2 linked regions of the Elephas maximus indicus genome follow. Each later gene encodes a partner of the first gene's protein in a complex. Links are inferred from orthologs where the notes say so. Each region holds a gene or a part of one and is shown on either strand. Other genes may lie near its edges.

Region 1 (7,890 bases):
CACACTATTAACCACTGCGTCCCAGAGCTCCAATGAAAAAGAAAAAATAGGCTAAATTATATTAAAGGTATATAAATGTCCAGTAGAAGAAATAAAAATAATGACATAATTATATAAACACGGAGTATAAATCCCCTAAAGCTAAATCCTCTTTTATAACAATTAATACATCAAGAAACAGCGGCATAAGCATTCTACGTACAGTGACGGCAATAACCTTCAGAGCTAAACACTGAGATAATTAAAAGAGGTTAAATCTGAGGACTAGGAATAGGGACGAGTGGAAAGAGACTTTTCATCATAAACTCCTGAATTTGTTACCAAGTGCATGTATTTCTTCAATAATAATTTCTCTAAAAGAAGTTGATTTTCAAAAGAGACCCTCTATCACCTTAGGCTACTTGTCCTTCTGTTAAGAAGTTCCTCGTCATGTCTTAAGGTCTAACACAAACCTTTCTTTAAGGATGCTTCAGCTCATCTCCTCTTTGACCTCAATGTCAAGGTGGAGATAGTGTACTTCTCTTTCCTTGCAGAAACTTAGGGCCAAGCTGTCGAGCAGGCTCAAGCCCCACCAGGAACTAGGTAAATGCTTACCCGAGGCCCCAGGGGGTGGCGGCATCAAGGGAGAGGGCATTCTCAAGCTGCCAGCAGAAGGGTAGGGAGGGCAGTGGTCTCAGGGTAGTTAAATCAATATTGAATCAGGCTGAGAGCTCTCTGCACAGGGCCATGGAGCTGGTATAAGCAGATTCCAGCCAGACAGCCCAAGCCAGCTCTGGGAGCCCCTGCTGAAACAGACAGATGGTAAAGGAAGCAACTTGCACATTCACCTCTCTCTGAACTGTTCCCCCCCTACCAAGCCCCAAATGCACCTTGACTAGGCTCTCTCTTATCCCCTGCCAATTATTGAAAGGGTCCTCCCAGCCTCTTTCCCAAATCAAAGAATCTCAATTCACTACTTTGGATGGTGTTCAGCAAACATGTTCTCTCCATGCAATGTGACCTCAACTCTGAGAAGGAAGCAGGGAAACTAGGGGAAGTATGACTTCTGGTTGGGGATGTTTTCCAAATTGCTTCTAAAAAGGGGTATTATGAGGAGACTGCACTCTGATAAAGAGGAGGAAGACAAGGCAGAAGCGGGACAAGGTAGTAGGACTGCTTCATACTTCAGACAGGCCTAGAGTTAAAGATGAATGGAGCTTCACATGTCCTCTTCACTATCATGGGCCAAGTCAGAGACATGGCATACATACAAGGCAGCAACTAGTCTCCTAAGTCCCAGATCACTCCAAGTTCTCTTTTCCAGACAGCTTCCTCAAAGGGCTTTCCCACAAACATACTTTCTACCTATTGAATCTGGAATTGTGGATTAAGCTGACAGCTCAGGAGGTCAGCAACCTAATGTGACAGGAAAAAAAGACAGATGAGAGAAGCAGACTTAGAGCTTGTCTTTCAAACTGACTTACTTTCATGGCTGTAGATTAGAAAGACCCAACGGAGATCAAGATGAAAGAAAATTCTCAGGGCGACTAAACCACTCCTATCAAATACCTTTTGTCTGATGAACCCAGAGGATGTTTTGTAAACAAAAAAACCAAGTCTAATTTTTCTCCCAACCCTCATTCTACTGTTAGTCTATTACTGCAGTGATGCCTTTAGAGTGGGCCATTTTCCCAAAAAGGTCATTCTAAAGGTCAAGTGAGGAAGTCACATGCTGAACCCAGGAGTCCTAATTCCAAATGTATAAGCTCTTTCCATTGTCCCATGTTCCTTTTCCCAGTTACCACCCCCCCCCCATCCCACCCCAGGCCTGTGCTCTCAGGGAATCAACCAAAACTATTCTACTAAGCCACAGGCACGTAAACTGACTCCTCTTGGCTCTGGACGGGGTGGGAAGGCACTCTAGTCTGTGATCCCTTTAAAACAAGCCTAAAATTAAATAATCCGAAACAAAATTTCTCACAACCTCATTCAGTTTCCAGGCCTGTTCATCCCTGCCAGTGGTTGCTCCTGAGTAGTCAACAAAGTGTAATCTGATAGACTTCTTCAAAATTTGCTCCATCCTTCAGAATCACCCTTCTGTCCAGAAAAGCCTGAGACAGCTGAGGCTCCCCCTCTTCCCAATACATTTTCTTCTTAGTTCAAGGTTTAGCTGATCCTGAAATAACTGGTATGTGGAGATAAAGAGTGTGAAAGAGAAGACATAGAGACCAAAGGGAAAACAGAACCAAATGTCACAAGATCAGGCAAAATCTCTGAAACTCTAGGGAGAAGGTGTCAAAAGTTAGAAATCCTGAATGGGCAGGGGCACTGTCAGATCTTTTATTCCCCTCAGAAACAAACCTCCAGAGGCTGGGGGATTGAAAAGGGGGAAGAGAAACTAAATAAAGTTACAGGGATCAGATAGCATTCCGGAGAAGAAGGGTGAGGATTATGGTCAAAGCAGAATGCTAACAGTACTGTGGGAATGATGCTGAGAGCATTAAATCCCTTAAGGAGAGGGGGATAGGTAACTTTTGGAAACCAAGAGTCGCTGGGTGGGTGGGTGGCAGTAAAGTAATAGAATCAGAAGAAGCAGAAGAAGAAAGGGCCACATCTTTAGCTGAGGGAAATGGGAACCCAGTGCTAGGGTTGCACAGAGACCTCGGAGCAAAGGGGTAAAAGAGGAAAAAGGATAAAGGAGGGGTCTATGGGAAAGGTTTGAGGCAGGGGCACAGGCAACGAGGAAGGACAAGCAAGGATGGACATTACAGAAGGCATCCTGATACGGAAGGGTTTAAGAAAATAATTTCGGGACGGAGGCAACAGGGATAAAAGTGAGGGAGGAGGAATCCCCGGGGCAAGGGGAGGAGTTAAAAGAGGAAGCCAAAAAGCAGAGGAGGATCCCAGGCCTAAAAAGAAAGGGTGGAGAAGGAACCCGGGGTGCAGCTGCCACCGGGGGGGCAATTCTGTAGTCGAATCCAGGTTTTGAGGGGGAGGGTGGGTAGGCTGTGCGGGACAGGGTGAGAGAGCCCCCCGAGAGGGCAAGGGTAACTCACGGGGGTGGAGTCGCCTACCTCCGGGGGACCCCCGCGGAGGGGGTGCGGGCGGTCGGGGTCGGGCTGCCGGCACCCCGCCTCAGCAGCAGCGGCCGCTCCCGGGCTCCATTGGCCGCCTCCGCTTTCCTGACAGCGGCCGCGGCGGCTGCACCAGGCCCTGGCTGCGGGGCTGCCCTCGGCGCTGCCTGAAGGGGCCTTCGCGCAGCCCCAAGTTCGACCGGGCCGCGCAACCTCCTCTTCCTCGCCTCGTACAACCAAGGAAAAAAAAAAAATTCCCAGCAGGTACTGATGTAGATTCCTCTCCCGAGTCCCAGTCCTTCTTCCCGAGGTCGGCTTCCTTGCTTCCCCGACGCTCAGGACCCTACCGATCCCATAGTAACCTAAAGAGTCGGGTGAGCTGCCCGGAACATGCCTGTTCAGAAATTTAAAAGGGGGAGGAGACGAGATAGTTGGAAGCTAAAGAGGGAGGCGGGCGAAGGGAGGAGCCTATGGATGGAAGGAGGGGCCAATCTTTGAGAGGCGGCCCTAAGGGAGGGGTTCCGAGACTAAGGAAGCCGAGAGGGAAGTAAATTTGTAGGGTAAGGTTCCCGCGCTCCCGGCCGTGAGCAGACAGAGGCCGGGTGGACAAACGGGAGTGCGTGCCCCTGTTAGAGGAGACGTACAGACATATCGGGTACTTCCATGAGTACATGAACTTGCAAGTTATATGTAAATGAGCCCGTTTTAGTTAGCCACCGAGTTACCGTAACTTCAGACAGTAGCATTCTCCCCTCCCCTGTCCTACACGGACTCCCTGAGCAAATCAGGTTGTGGGATGGAAAAGGGGAGGGGAGAAAAAGGGAAGATAGTTACCCTCACTACCCTTTTCCTACTCATCTTTAAGGACGGTGCCAAGATTACGCCCCTTATCACTTCGGGAATGGCGCGGTCCAACCACGTCAGTCTTAACGCCGTTAGCGGCCAGACTCGAGGCCGTGGTTCTGCCTCCGAGGTCCTCCCGCCTAGGCAGCTTTTGGCCTCCAGCCTCGGACGCCGAGCCCTCCAGGGAGGAGCTGGCCTGGGGCTGGCCAGGGCAAGGTTGGGAGAGGTGAGTGAAATGTCAAAGACTTGGAGGACACAACCCTTCCTTCAAAACAAAATAAACCAAAAACCAAACCCCTTGCTGTCGAGTGGATTCCGACTCACAGCGACCCTATAGGACAGAGGAGAACTGTTTCCAAGGCTGTAATCTTTACGGAAGCGGACTGCCACATCTTTCCCCTGCAGAGCGGCTGGTGGGTTCGAACTGCGGACTTTTCGGTTAACATCCCAGCACTTAACCACTGCACCACCAGGGCTCCTGTTAAAATAAGACTAAACAAAAACACAACCTGTAAATGCGGGTTAGCGTCATTGATTGAAAGCTGTCCTTCAGAGCCTGTATCCCAGCTCCTTGTAGAACTTTACTTAATATTTAAATTGAGACTAGTTGTTTGTTTGAACCCAGATCTTGGATGCTTCCCTGGCATTTACAGGCTGAGTGATTTCAGATGACTGATTTAACCTTTTTGAACCTCAGTTTCCATGACTGTAAAGAGGCTGCAGTAATATTTATACTTTACAGAGTTTTGTGATGGTTAAGAGAGCGCATATTACTAGTATATTACTATTACTGGGACAGTAAGATGATGAAGGAGCCCTGGTGGCACAGTTTGGCTGCTAACCAAAAGGTTGGCAGTTCAAATTCACCAGCTGCTGCTTGGAAATCCTATGGGGCAGTTCTACTCTGTCCTGTAGGGTTGCTATGAGTCAGAATCACTGATGGCAACAGGCCTCTTTTTTTTTTTTTAAGATGATGAACGAAAAAAGGAAAGAGGGCCACTGCTTCAGTGTTTAATTGGAAGGCAGAATAGAGTAATAGCTTGAAAATACATATGAAAAACATGTAACATATACAAAAGTAGAACAAATGGAGTACCTAATTGCTGAAGGAACGTGGAAGACTTTAGTTAATACAGAGGGCCTAGCCACTCACTATAAAAAGAATTAATGAATGGAAGGCTTCTCAGAAATATTGTGAGCCACTTCTTAGATGTTGGATATGATCCAGCAGAACAAAAAGGAGAGAGGATTCTAAGGCAAAAAAAGTGTTGAAGAATAGAAATGGAAATTTGCTGAAATCCTGAGGCTAGGGTGAGCAGATATTAGCTAGTTTAAAGAAGGAGTACAGTAATGAAAGATAAGCTGAGTAAGAGGCATAGAGTGCCAAAGATAGTTTAAATTTGTCACCACTGGTCTGGAGTGGGGGGAATCACCAGTCCACCTGTCAGGCCCAGCCCTTGCCCAGCTTTCAACCAGCTGTCAGGCAAGTACCAAGAGGTGATGAGCCTGCTTTAGCCTAGAGTTTAAAATATTACAACACCTTAGGGGGTAGGGTTCTGAAGGGCTACAAGACTAGCCTTTTGAAACATTGCACAAAGAGATGGGCAGCCCTACTTTTTTTATAGTACGAAGCTTTTCATTTTCCAGTGACAAAAACAAGATTTCAGGAACATCTGTTCCAAGGGAGGGAGGAACTTTTTATAAGTCCAGGCAGTTTTAAGTCCTTTATTAACCAAGTGAGACCCCGCCCCCCAAAGCATTGAGTATTAAGTAGAAGAGTTTGTTTCAAGTTTTCTGTATTTATATCTCTAAGGGTTTATATATGTATGTTTCTTTGCATCTCTTTATGACTGTCTTTCTGCCTTTTTCTGGAGTTTTTTTCGTTGCCCTGTTTCCATCAGTCTCCACCTTTCTTCCTTTCTTCTCAGTCCTTAACTGTCAAAATTTTAAACTGAAGGTTACTTTTTGTTTTACATTTTAAATTTAAAAGCACAGCATCTGATAACTACTCACCCCACCGAACTTTTTCTTTTTTTTTTTAAGTTGGTTTTTGACAGAAAAAATATCACTCTCCTCTGTTAGGTAGGATGTCACTGCAGGCGTGTAGATGGTTTCACACGGATGACATGTGCCCCTGGGGGAACCCACACTGTTTTGAGTGCATGTGAAGTCTCTTGGTGGGTAAGTGTATGTATGTGTGGCACATTAGGGTGAGGGGTGGGGCAGGAAAGTGCCAACAGAGCAGGATCATGTCATTTACTTGTCTTATTTAAATTGCATCAAATGGGGGAAAGATGTTGGCTTATTATTCAAAAGTTGGTTAAAAAAAATACCAGATCCATGTCATAATACAGGTTAAAGGAATTATAGACTGAATTTTTCCCCTGAATCATAGACATTAGGAGCTTTTTTTTCAAGGAAAAGAAAAAGCAGCAGGTATTGCTTGAGTCCTTACTGTGTCTGAGTACAAATATTACCTCATTTATTCTTCATTACAACCCTGTGAAATAGATTTTATCCTATTTTATGGAAACTGAGCTTCAGAATAGTTGTCATTTTTTTTTTTTCAAAATTGTTTTACTTCAACCCATGATAAGAAATACATTTTATATTATGACCACTGAAAAACACATATGTGTTAACTGAAATAAAAGTTTCTGGAAAGAATACTTACCCTTACTATGTGCCATGAACCCAGTGTTTTCTGTTCTATTTCATTTTTTTGAAGTGCTGTTTGCAACCTGCTAAATGGATTTCACAACCCGTGAAGGGGTTGCGATCAAACTGTGAATGCAGTTTGAAAAAACTGAGCTCAATAAAATGTTCAAAATTATCTGGTAAGTGGTAAAGCTAAGATTTGAGCCTAACTTATGTTCTTCCCAGTAAACAATTGCCTCCCGAAGAACATGTCTTAAGAAATACTACATTATATATGTTTATACTTAGCTTTATCCCCCTGGATAGAGTCAGCAAGTTAATCTTAGATGAAGGGGTAGGCCTTTTGGCAAACCATGAAGCAAAACACTTAGACAAATAGCCAATGACATAAATTTCCCCATTTGGTATGTAAGTGAATGTGGCATTTGCTTTGATTTCTAAAGAAAGCCAATTATTAACCATAAATATAAACAAATTATTTGGGACCACAGACTAGAGATGTAGAATTTGTCTTGGTTTAATTAGTAGTAAAAGATTATTTCAAAATTTTAGCAAATTATAAATTATCTTTAGTATTTGTGACAGCTAAAATAGGAAAAGATGATACTGGGGGGAGAGGGGGGTGTGGGGAACAGGGAATTGCAGAGGAGGAGGAGGAGGAGGAATGGTAGCAGGGAAGTAGTAGGTAGCTCCCCAAATCCCAGTTTAGCCCTTCATCTCATAAACTGAAGATTCCTCAAACTGCAGGCTCATTTGTTTCACGGCAGATTTAAAAAATATGGTGGAAGAAGCTATTTTAGAACCCCACAACACTCATGCAAATCTCAGAATCATCCAGCGTCCTGGTCTCCCAAAGGGAATGGCTATATCCTCAACCCCAATCATAGTGAGGATAGTATTTTCTTGGATGCTTCCATCACTAGTGCTTTATTTTTCCATATACTTTTCACCTGTCAGCAGCCTGGTCCAGTCCCACATCTCTTCCCACATGGATAAAAGTAACTTAACAGTGGCCTGGCTGGTTCCTTTGACTCCAGTTCTTCCATCCTCTAATGGAAACCTCATACCACTCATTCATTCACTTGACAAATACCTCTAATGGTTGTGTGTTGTTTTTTCTTCTGGTGCATTTCTCACTATTCTTCCTACACATCTCTTCTGACAGGCCTCTTTAATGTGTTTGTACTGCTGTGCCTTTATTCACACCCCATGCCCCTATTCCCTGCTTCTCCTGGAATGCCCCCCCTTTTTCACCTATCCAAGTCCTGCTGACATTAAACTCAAGCTTACCTTTTCCATGAAGCCATCCCAAGTTATTCAGCTCAAATTGATCTCT
Region 2 (7,930 bases), on another chromosome or scaffold:
GCTGTCACTTGGTGTTTATTTCCTCTTTTGGACTCAAAGATCCTTAATGGCAAGAGGAATGTACAATTTACCTATACACCTGGACCTGCTGCCACTGAGTCAGTTGCAACTCATAGTGACCCTATACAGCAGAGTAGAACTGCCCCACATGGTTTTCAAGGAGTGGCTGGTAGATTCGAACTGCCAACCTCTGGGTTAGCAGCCTGAGCTGTTAACCACTGCACCATTAAAACCAAAAATCCAGTGCCGTCGAGTTGATTCCGGCTCATAGCGACCCTACAGGACAGAGGAGAACTGTCCCATAGAGTTTCCAAGGAGCGCCTGGCGGATTCGAACTGCTGACCGTTTGTTTAACAGCCGTAGCACTTAACCACTACGCCACCAGGGTTTCCACTGCACCATCAGGGCTCCCTACTTAACTATAGTGCTAACCTAATATAACACTTCATCTATAATGAGGATTCAGCAAACGTCTACTGAACAAAGTTTAGATGGTAAAATACCATTATGGACTGAACTGTGCTCCCAAAAAGATGTATGAAGTCCTTGTCCCTGTCCCTGTACATATGACCCTGTTTGGAAACAGGGGTTTCTGTTGTCATGTTAATGAGGTCATGGCAGAGTAGGGCAGGTCCTAAACCTAATCCCTTCTGTGTTGTGTCAGAATAGATAGAATGAGGGTGGGGTGGTTGGGATCTACATGCAAAGAAACACCAAGGAATGCCAGCAGACACTAGAAACTATGACAGAGAGTCACAAAAGGAATTGACAGGGCCAAGACCCTGATTTGGACTTTTAGCCTCCAAACTGTGAGAGAATATTTTTTGTTATGACAGCACTGGATAATTAAGACACTTACATTTACCTACATTTTCATCTGTTATTTTACTTTTATTTTCACAAAATTAAGAGGGTAGGGAGTTGACATAATGGGTTCAGTCAGTGGCCTATGACCACTGTCACAGGGCTGGAATGAAGAACGGGGTCCCTATTTTCAATGGAAAAGATATTCATGTTTTTAAGATTCATATTTACGCCACAGGAGAAGAGAATACGTCATTTTATTTTTAATTCTTGTAAGCTATTGGTACAAAACCACAAAATAATGATCTACTAGAAATCCTTGCAAGACTGATTAAAGCACAAGGATTTCACTAGAAAAATTCACACATTAAAACAAATGCAGCAACACTTGGCTTACCCCACTTCCCATAATTCTGAGTGCTTTTGTATCCCTACTTTTCTTTTTCCCCTCAATTAGGCATCTCCTACAGTAACAGCCTCTTCATTGCTAGATGATGTAATGAGCCACGCAGAAGGGTAGCTTTTAATTGCTCCTGTGCTATTTCTCCCTCTGATATACTGAATACTGGAAAAATAAGTTCTAAGAATAAAAATTTAAGGTAGAATATAATTATATAAATTGTATAGAAACCACTAGATTTTTATAAACATGGTAATATATCATCACCACAGCAAACTTTAAATTCAAGCCGGTGACCTACAGGTCAAGTATCCAAAACCCACTAGCCATTACCAATTCCCCAAGCTAGCTAGTGCTCAGAGGGCTGAACTTCTTGTGCAATGACAAGAAATATCTCAAAGGGAAATTTTTAAATAAAAAAAATGCAATGTATATGGAATGATCAAATGTGCTGGAAAATTTCCTAAGGGACATTTTCCATAGCTTGCACAATTTAAGTTATATTTCAAGGAAAAAACTTGAAGATTTGAACTACTCAACTTCAACTAGTAAATATGTACTCAAAAAGGTACTCCCTCCAGGAATCGTGTCATGAATATGCTGTTCTGGAATATATACAGAACCTAGCAGCCACTTTAAAAGTCTCATTTGCACATTATCTCTTCCTACCCATACACCCCATGAGATCTAAGTATCTCTAAGAATCAAACCAACGACGTCTTACCAGTTTTTCCCACTGAAAAAATCATGTGACTATCACCATCATTTGACTAAGTGAATCAGCCAATAGAAAAAATCACACACTACAGTCTTGCTCTAAGAAAAAAGACATTTTTTCAATTAATTCTGCTAGAAGCACAGAAGGTACTTTTATGCCTTACTCTGAGAATTCACTCTTCCAAATTGCTTACAAGGTAAAAATTTAACCTTCCAGAAGCTGCTAGAACACAGTGGACATCCCTTCTCTTTTGAGTCTGAACAGCCGAAGGGGATGTATTGGCTTAATATTTTACTTCCTTCTCCCTGGCACATTATCGCTGCCAGGTGATTAAGTGCTATTCGACTTTATGGTTCCCCAGAATGGCTGGAGAGAGCATGTACGGAACCTATAGAAAGACTTCTCCCGCTATGGGGAATGAGGAAAACTCGGCGAGGTCTGATATCCATGCCATGGGAAACAGGAGAACGGTGAAAAGGCAACCCCAAAATGGGATCTCTGGGAGAGACAGCGCAAGGGCTTACAAAGAGGTACCTTGGCTCGTGGAAATCCGAAGAATTAAATCAGGTAAAATGCCCTGCTAACCTCGGGGAGGCGGGATTCGGGAGTGCCAAAGCAAGGTTCCAGGCCACTCAGGGGCGTGACCTGGTGGTCGAGCGGATAGTGACAAGCTTCAGGTAGCCCCAGGGGCGGAACCCTGCTCCGGTCACCGCAGTGGGTGCGGGTGAGGCTGGCCCAATCACCCCGGTGGACACAGCCCGGGTCGGGCTTCCAGCGCCAGGAAGAGGAGGGCGAGCGGCCGGCCCGGCTCACCTTTGAAGAAGCGGAGGGCCAGGCCGTACAGCTCCTCCAGGCCAAAGCCCCAGTGCAGCTCCAGCCGCCGCGCCTCCTCCGCCGCGCCCCCAGCCGCCGTCTCCCCGGGCTCCGGCTGCTCCCCTGCGGCGCCCGGGCCCCGGCCCGACCCCGGAGGCGAGGGTGGCGGCAGCGGCGGTGGCAGCAGCGGGGCGCCCTCCGCACCAGGCCGCTCCTCCGGGTCTGGGCTTAGCGTGAGGCCGTCGACAGACACCTCCAGTCGCTCTGCGTTCAGCACCGCCGCCATCTCCGGCTGCTGCGCCTCCTCGGCGGGGACAGGCGGCGGCCACGTATCGACTTCCTGCTGACCTCCGACCTCCACTCACCGACACCGGAACTTCCGCTGCTGAGGAGGCTCAAGGGCTCTGGGAGAGGGTCTGATGCCTGGTGCCCCGCCCCTCCGGGGCCATAAGCCCCGCCCCCGCGACCACCCGCCCCGCCCCGCCCCTTAGGTCCCGCCCACGGGGGAAACCCCCCGCCCCGGCGCCTTCACCGTGTCCTCTCTGACCTTAGCTCCTTGCGGTTGGCAAGTGCTCCGTCCCAACGCCCCCCATCCCGGCCGCCCTCTGGACTGCGTTCTACCCCGCGACTGTCGGTGTCCGGCAGGGCCGAGGTCAGGAGAGCCCGCTGGGGTCGGTGCGCGGAGGACAAGGATTCAGGCAAGCACCCTGCCCTTCGGGTCCTAGGACCTTCACGTTCGTGAGCAGTTGTGTGGTTTGCAGAACTCTCTTGCCCACCAGTTTCGTTTGTTCTTCACAGCATCTTTGAGGGATGCAGGGCAAATGCCTTTTTTTTTTTAAGAGGCAACTGAGGCTGCAGAGAAAGTCGGTGACTTCTTTGAAGTGGTTGTAGACAGGGGCAGGTTCTAGTTTTGCAGTAACTGAAGCTCATACAACCTGTGGGGCCCTCTTTAACATAAAAAATACAAAAATTACAAACAGAAATGTAGGTAGGAAAGTGAGTATAGATTTAGTGAGAAAGAAATCACAAATGACATTTTTAAACATCTTCCAGATCAGACATCTAACCCTGTTGCTAATAGTTTTAAAAGTTAAAATCCACAAACAGCACACACACACTGTCTTAGTCATCTAGTGCTGCTGTAACAGAAATACCACAAGTGGATGGCTTTAATAAAGAAATTTATTTCCTCACGGTAAAGTAGGCTGAAAGTCCAAATTCAGGGTGTCATTTCTAGGGGAATGCTTTGTCTCACTGTCGGCTCTGGAGGAAGGTCCTTGTCCTCGATCTTCCCCTGGTCAAGGAACCCTGGGTCCAAAAGACAAGCTCTGCTCCCTGCACTGCTTTTTTGTTGGTCTGAGGTCCCCCCTCTGTGCGCGCTTCCCTTTCCTTTTTATCTCTTAAGAGATAAAAGGTGGTGCAGGCCACACCCCAGGGAAACTCTCTTTACATTGAATTAGGGATGTGACCTAGGTAAGGGTGTTACAATCCTACCCTAATCCTTTTTAACATAGAATTACAATCACAAAATGGAGAACCACACAGTACTGAGAATCATGGCCTAACCAAGTTGACACATATTTTGGGGGGACACAATTCAATCCGTGACACACACACAACCATAAAATTTTTATTAACTGCCTGATACACTTCTATAGGGTGTTTATAAAGTCTGAAAGCATAATTTTTTCATTCTGTTTGTTTTAAATATTAAAGATGTCCTTGATGACATTATGTTCATCTGTGTTTCCAGACCTCATGGACACCCTTTATAATAACTTTTCCTACATTTTTGGCTGCATATTGGATCACCTTTTCCTATGGTAATTATTTTGTAATATTGTATTAAAAAAAAATACAAAGATCAATATCTTTTGTCTAGAGTGGCCAATCAATATTTTTTATTTTTAATTGTTTATAAGTTACTTTCAACTTCACAACTCAATACTGATACTGTCATGTTTAGGGTTTTGGTCAAAACTGGGAAACTACTGAGTTTCTCTCATATATGAGCTATAATATTTCAGGGCCATTTGACTACTTCAGTGGCAGTTTTGCATGCAGTTTTTACTGGAACCCCAGAGTTTTTCAGGACAAAATTTGTCTATTGCATTAAGGCATCATCTGACCTGTGCGGATAAATAAAACATGTGACTTCACATATAGACAGGCTCACTATAGTACAACTACAACTTTGTGCCCTGTAAACACAGGAGTTCTAATATATTCCATTTTGCATGATTTCCATTAAAAAGAGGTATGGTACATTTATAATTGTATGTATGACATTACTTAGTAGATTCTGTGATGAGGGAGAACCTCCGTTTTGATTAGGCATTGACAGAAGTGATCCCTCCACTTACTAATTTACTTCTGATAGTTGGAAGAGTTTTCTATGGTCTAGCTTCTCAGTCCTTTTATTTCAAACCTTATTTCTCTTCTATTACCCATGTACTTACTGTACCAGGCACCACAGAAGTTCTTTGCCCTCGGGCTCTGCACCTTGGTGACATAGTGCTGGCTGAGTTGGCATAATGGGTAGCAGGTGTATTCCAGAAAGCCATTTTTACACCCACAGTGAGCAATATTTTTAACAGTACCCGGAAGTGACTGTGAACCACATAAATGCATGCCACTAAACTCAAATTAAATGTGTCCCTTATTTAATCATCGTCCCCTAGACAGATCCCCCAAAAGTCTGGGGTCATTCTGATACCACCTAACACAGAGAGGAGTGATGGAAGGGAAGCCAGAATGCAAAGAGAGAGTGACCTTAAATATCTTACTTTTCAAATTAAAAAAAAATATTGGACCACGTGAATATACTGGTAGGGCCCCTATGAGGGCCTTGGTAAACCCACTTCTGAGTTGTAGGGGACTCAAAATTAATTCTACTACTCTAAGTCCAGTGGTTTTTCTACTTAGCTTTGATCTCTAGATTTAGCTTTAATTCATTTTAAAATAGACACATTACAAGGCCTACCCTCTAAGAAGTCATAAATATATTACCTTGCTGTGTCTAGCTCAGCATTCTACCTTTACTTACCAATAACTGTTGAAGGTGAAAATGAGATGGTAAATATACCTCTACTTCTGTTTTCCAAGTTGTCTGCAATAACCATTTCATTTGCAATCAGGAAAAAAAAGTTATTTTTAAAAACAGTATAAATATTAAAACTTAATATAATCAGGAAGATGGATAGGTAAAACACACTATGTTTTTGGAATTTAACGTACTGAATATTCTTGAAGAACGTGAACCATCTAGCTAATAGAATCATCAGGGACATACTCTAGGTAGTTGGCTCTTAAAAAAAACCAAACCCAGTGCCATCAAGTCGATTCCAACTCATAGCAACCCTATAGGACGGAGTAGAACTGCCCCATAGAGTTTCCAAGGAGTACCTGGCAGATTCCAACTGCTGACCCTTTGATTAGGAGCCATAGCATTTAACCACTGTGCCACCAGGGTTGCTCTTAGAGACCTAAAAAAAGATTAGCAAATAGAACTCCCTTTTACGAACCCATTGTGGGAGATGAGTTCTAGACATTCAGTATAGTAAGAGGTCGAAATTTTTTTTTATATATAATTTTTATTGCGCTTTAAGTGAAAGTTTACAAATCAAGTCAGTCTCTCATACAAAAACTTATATACACCTTGCTACACACTCCCAATTACTTTCCCCCTACTGAGACAGCCCGCTCTCTCCCACCACTCTCTCTTTTCGTGTCCATTTCACCAGCTTCTAACCCCCTCCACCCTCTCGTCTCTCCTCCAGGCAGGAGATGCCAACATAGTCTCAAGTGTCTACCTGATCCAAGAAGCTCACTCCTCACCAGCATCCCTCTCCAACCCATTGCCCAGTCCAATCCATGTCTGAGGAGTTGACTTCGGGAACGGTTCCTGTCCTGGGGCAACAGAAGGTCTGGGGGCCAAGACCACCAGGGTCCTTCTAGTCTCAGTCAGACCATTAAGTTTGGTCTTTTTTATGAGAATTTGGGGTCTGCATCCCACTGCTCTCCTGCTCCAAGAGGTCAAACTTTAATATGCATAGGAATTACCTGAGGATTTTGTTAAACTACAGATTCTGACTCAGTAGGTCTGGAAAGGTCCCTGAGAGTCTGCATTTCTGATAAGCTTTCTGGTGATGCTGCTGTCTGTAGACAACACTTTGAATAGCAGGATTTGAGAAAATGTTTTCACAACTTTGTTGTCGTTGTTAGCTGCTGTCAAGTTAGCCCCTGACTCATGGTGACCCCATGAGTAACACCGACCAGTTCTGCACCATCCACCACGATCGGTTGCAGAATGGACCATTGTGATCCATACGGTTTTCACTGGCTGATTTTCAGAAGTAAATCGCGATCCAGGCTTTCCTTCGTTTTGTCCGTCTTAGTCTGGAGGCCCCTCTAAAACCTGTTCAGCGTCATAGCAACACGCAAGCCTCCACTGACAGACAGTTGGGTGGTAGCTGTGCATGGTGCACTGACCAGAAATTGAACCCCAGTCTCACACATGGAAGGTGAAAATTCTATCACTGAACCACACTTACTGAGGTATAATTGATGTACAAATAAACTGCAAATTAAAGTTTACAGTGAGTTTTGATGTGTGTATATACCTGTAAAACTATTACCACAATTAACAAACATATCCATCATCCATTTTATAGCCCCTCCCCAAAACTTTTCAATAGACGTTTGCTATGATACGCCTGTCACTGTAGCAACAAGATAAATAAGGTAGTATTGGATTATAACCCAAAGTATAAACATCCACCAGTTTCTACTGATATAGATAAATGACTGTGTAAATAAATAAATGGGGGAAAGACACAAATCTCCCTTCCAAAGAATTTCAAATAATTTATGTAGATACTCTGCCCTCAAGCAGGTAGAGCGTAACTCTCCACTTCTTAGTGAGGGCTGCATGTAGTGACTTCCTTCCAAAGAGTACAGTATGAAAACCCAAAACAAAACCCACTGCTGTCGAGTCGATTCCAACTCATAGTGACCCTATAGGACAGGGTAGAACTGCCTCATAGGGTTTCCAAGGCTGTAAATCCTTACAGAAGCAGACTGGCATATCTTTGTCCCTCAGAGTGGCTTGTGAGTTCGAACTGCTGACATTTTGGTTAGCAGCTGAGCTCTTTAACCACTGTGCCACCAGGACTCCTCCAGTATGGAAGGCGGGG

Evidence for each region.
Region 2: the proteins of PI4KB (region 1) and ACBD3 are in contact, whole or in part, in an NMR structure (PDB 2N73), measured with the Homo sapiens proteins. The link is inferred for Elephas maximus indicus from reciprocal best matches to the Homo sapiens genes PI4KB and ACBD3. Residues at the interface, in NP_001317650.1 of Homo sapiens: Val37, Gly38, Val42, Ile43, Asp44, Pro45, Val47, Ala48, Gln49, Lys50, Ala51, Cys52, Glu54, Val55, Leu56, Val59, Lys60, His63; in NP_073572.2 of Homo sapiens: Gln245, Ile246, Ala249, Leu250, Gln253, Thr254, Gln257, Phe258, Tyr261, Gln265, Tyr266, Leu276, Leu280, Gln283, His284, Gln287, Tyr288, Gln291, Leu292, Val295.

Annotation. Positions count from the first base shown.
Region 1 is NC_064821.1:185,359,194-185,367,083, forward strand, and holds the start of PI4KB (phosphatidylinositol 4-kinase beta), read right to left. Parts: upstream 3,186-7,890; 5' UTR 3,054-3,185; intron 2,165-3,053; 5' UTR 1,969-2,164; coding exon 1,964-1,968; intron 786-1,963; exon of another isoform or gene 595-785; intron 1-594. UniProt on the Homo sapiens protein: Phosphorylates phosphatidylinositol (PI) in the first committed step in the production of the second messenger inositol-1,4,5,-trisphosphate (PIP). May regulate Golgi disintegration/reorganization during mitosis, possibly via its phosphorylation.
Region 2 is NC_064842.1:15,831,812-15,839,741, forward strand, and holds the start of ACBD3 (Golgi resident protein GCP60), read right to left. Parts: upstream 3,100-7,930; 5' UTR 3,022-3,099; coding exon 2,736-3,021; intron 1-2,735. UniProt on the Homo sapiens protein: Involved in the maintenance of Golgi structure by interacting with giantin, affecting protein transport between the endoplasmic reticulum and Golgi. Involved in hormone-induced steroid biosynthesis in testicular Leydig cells.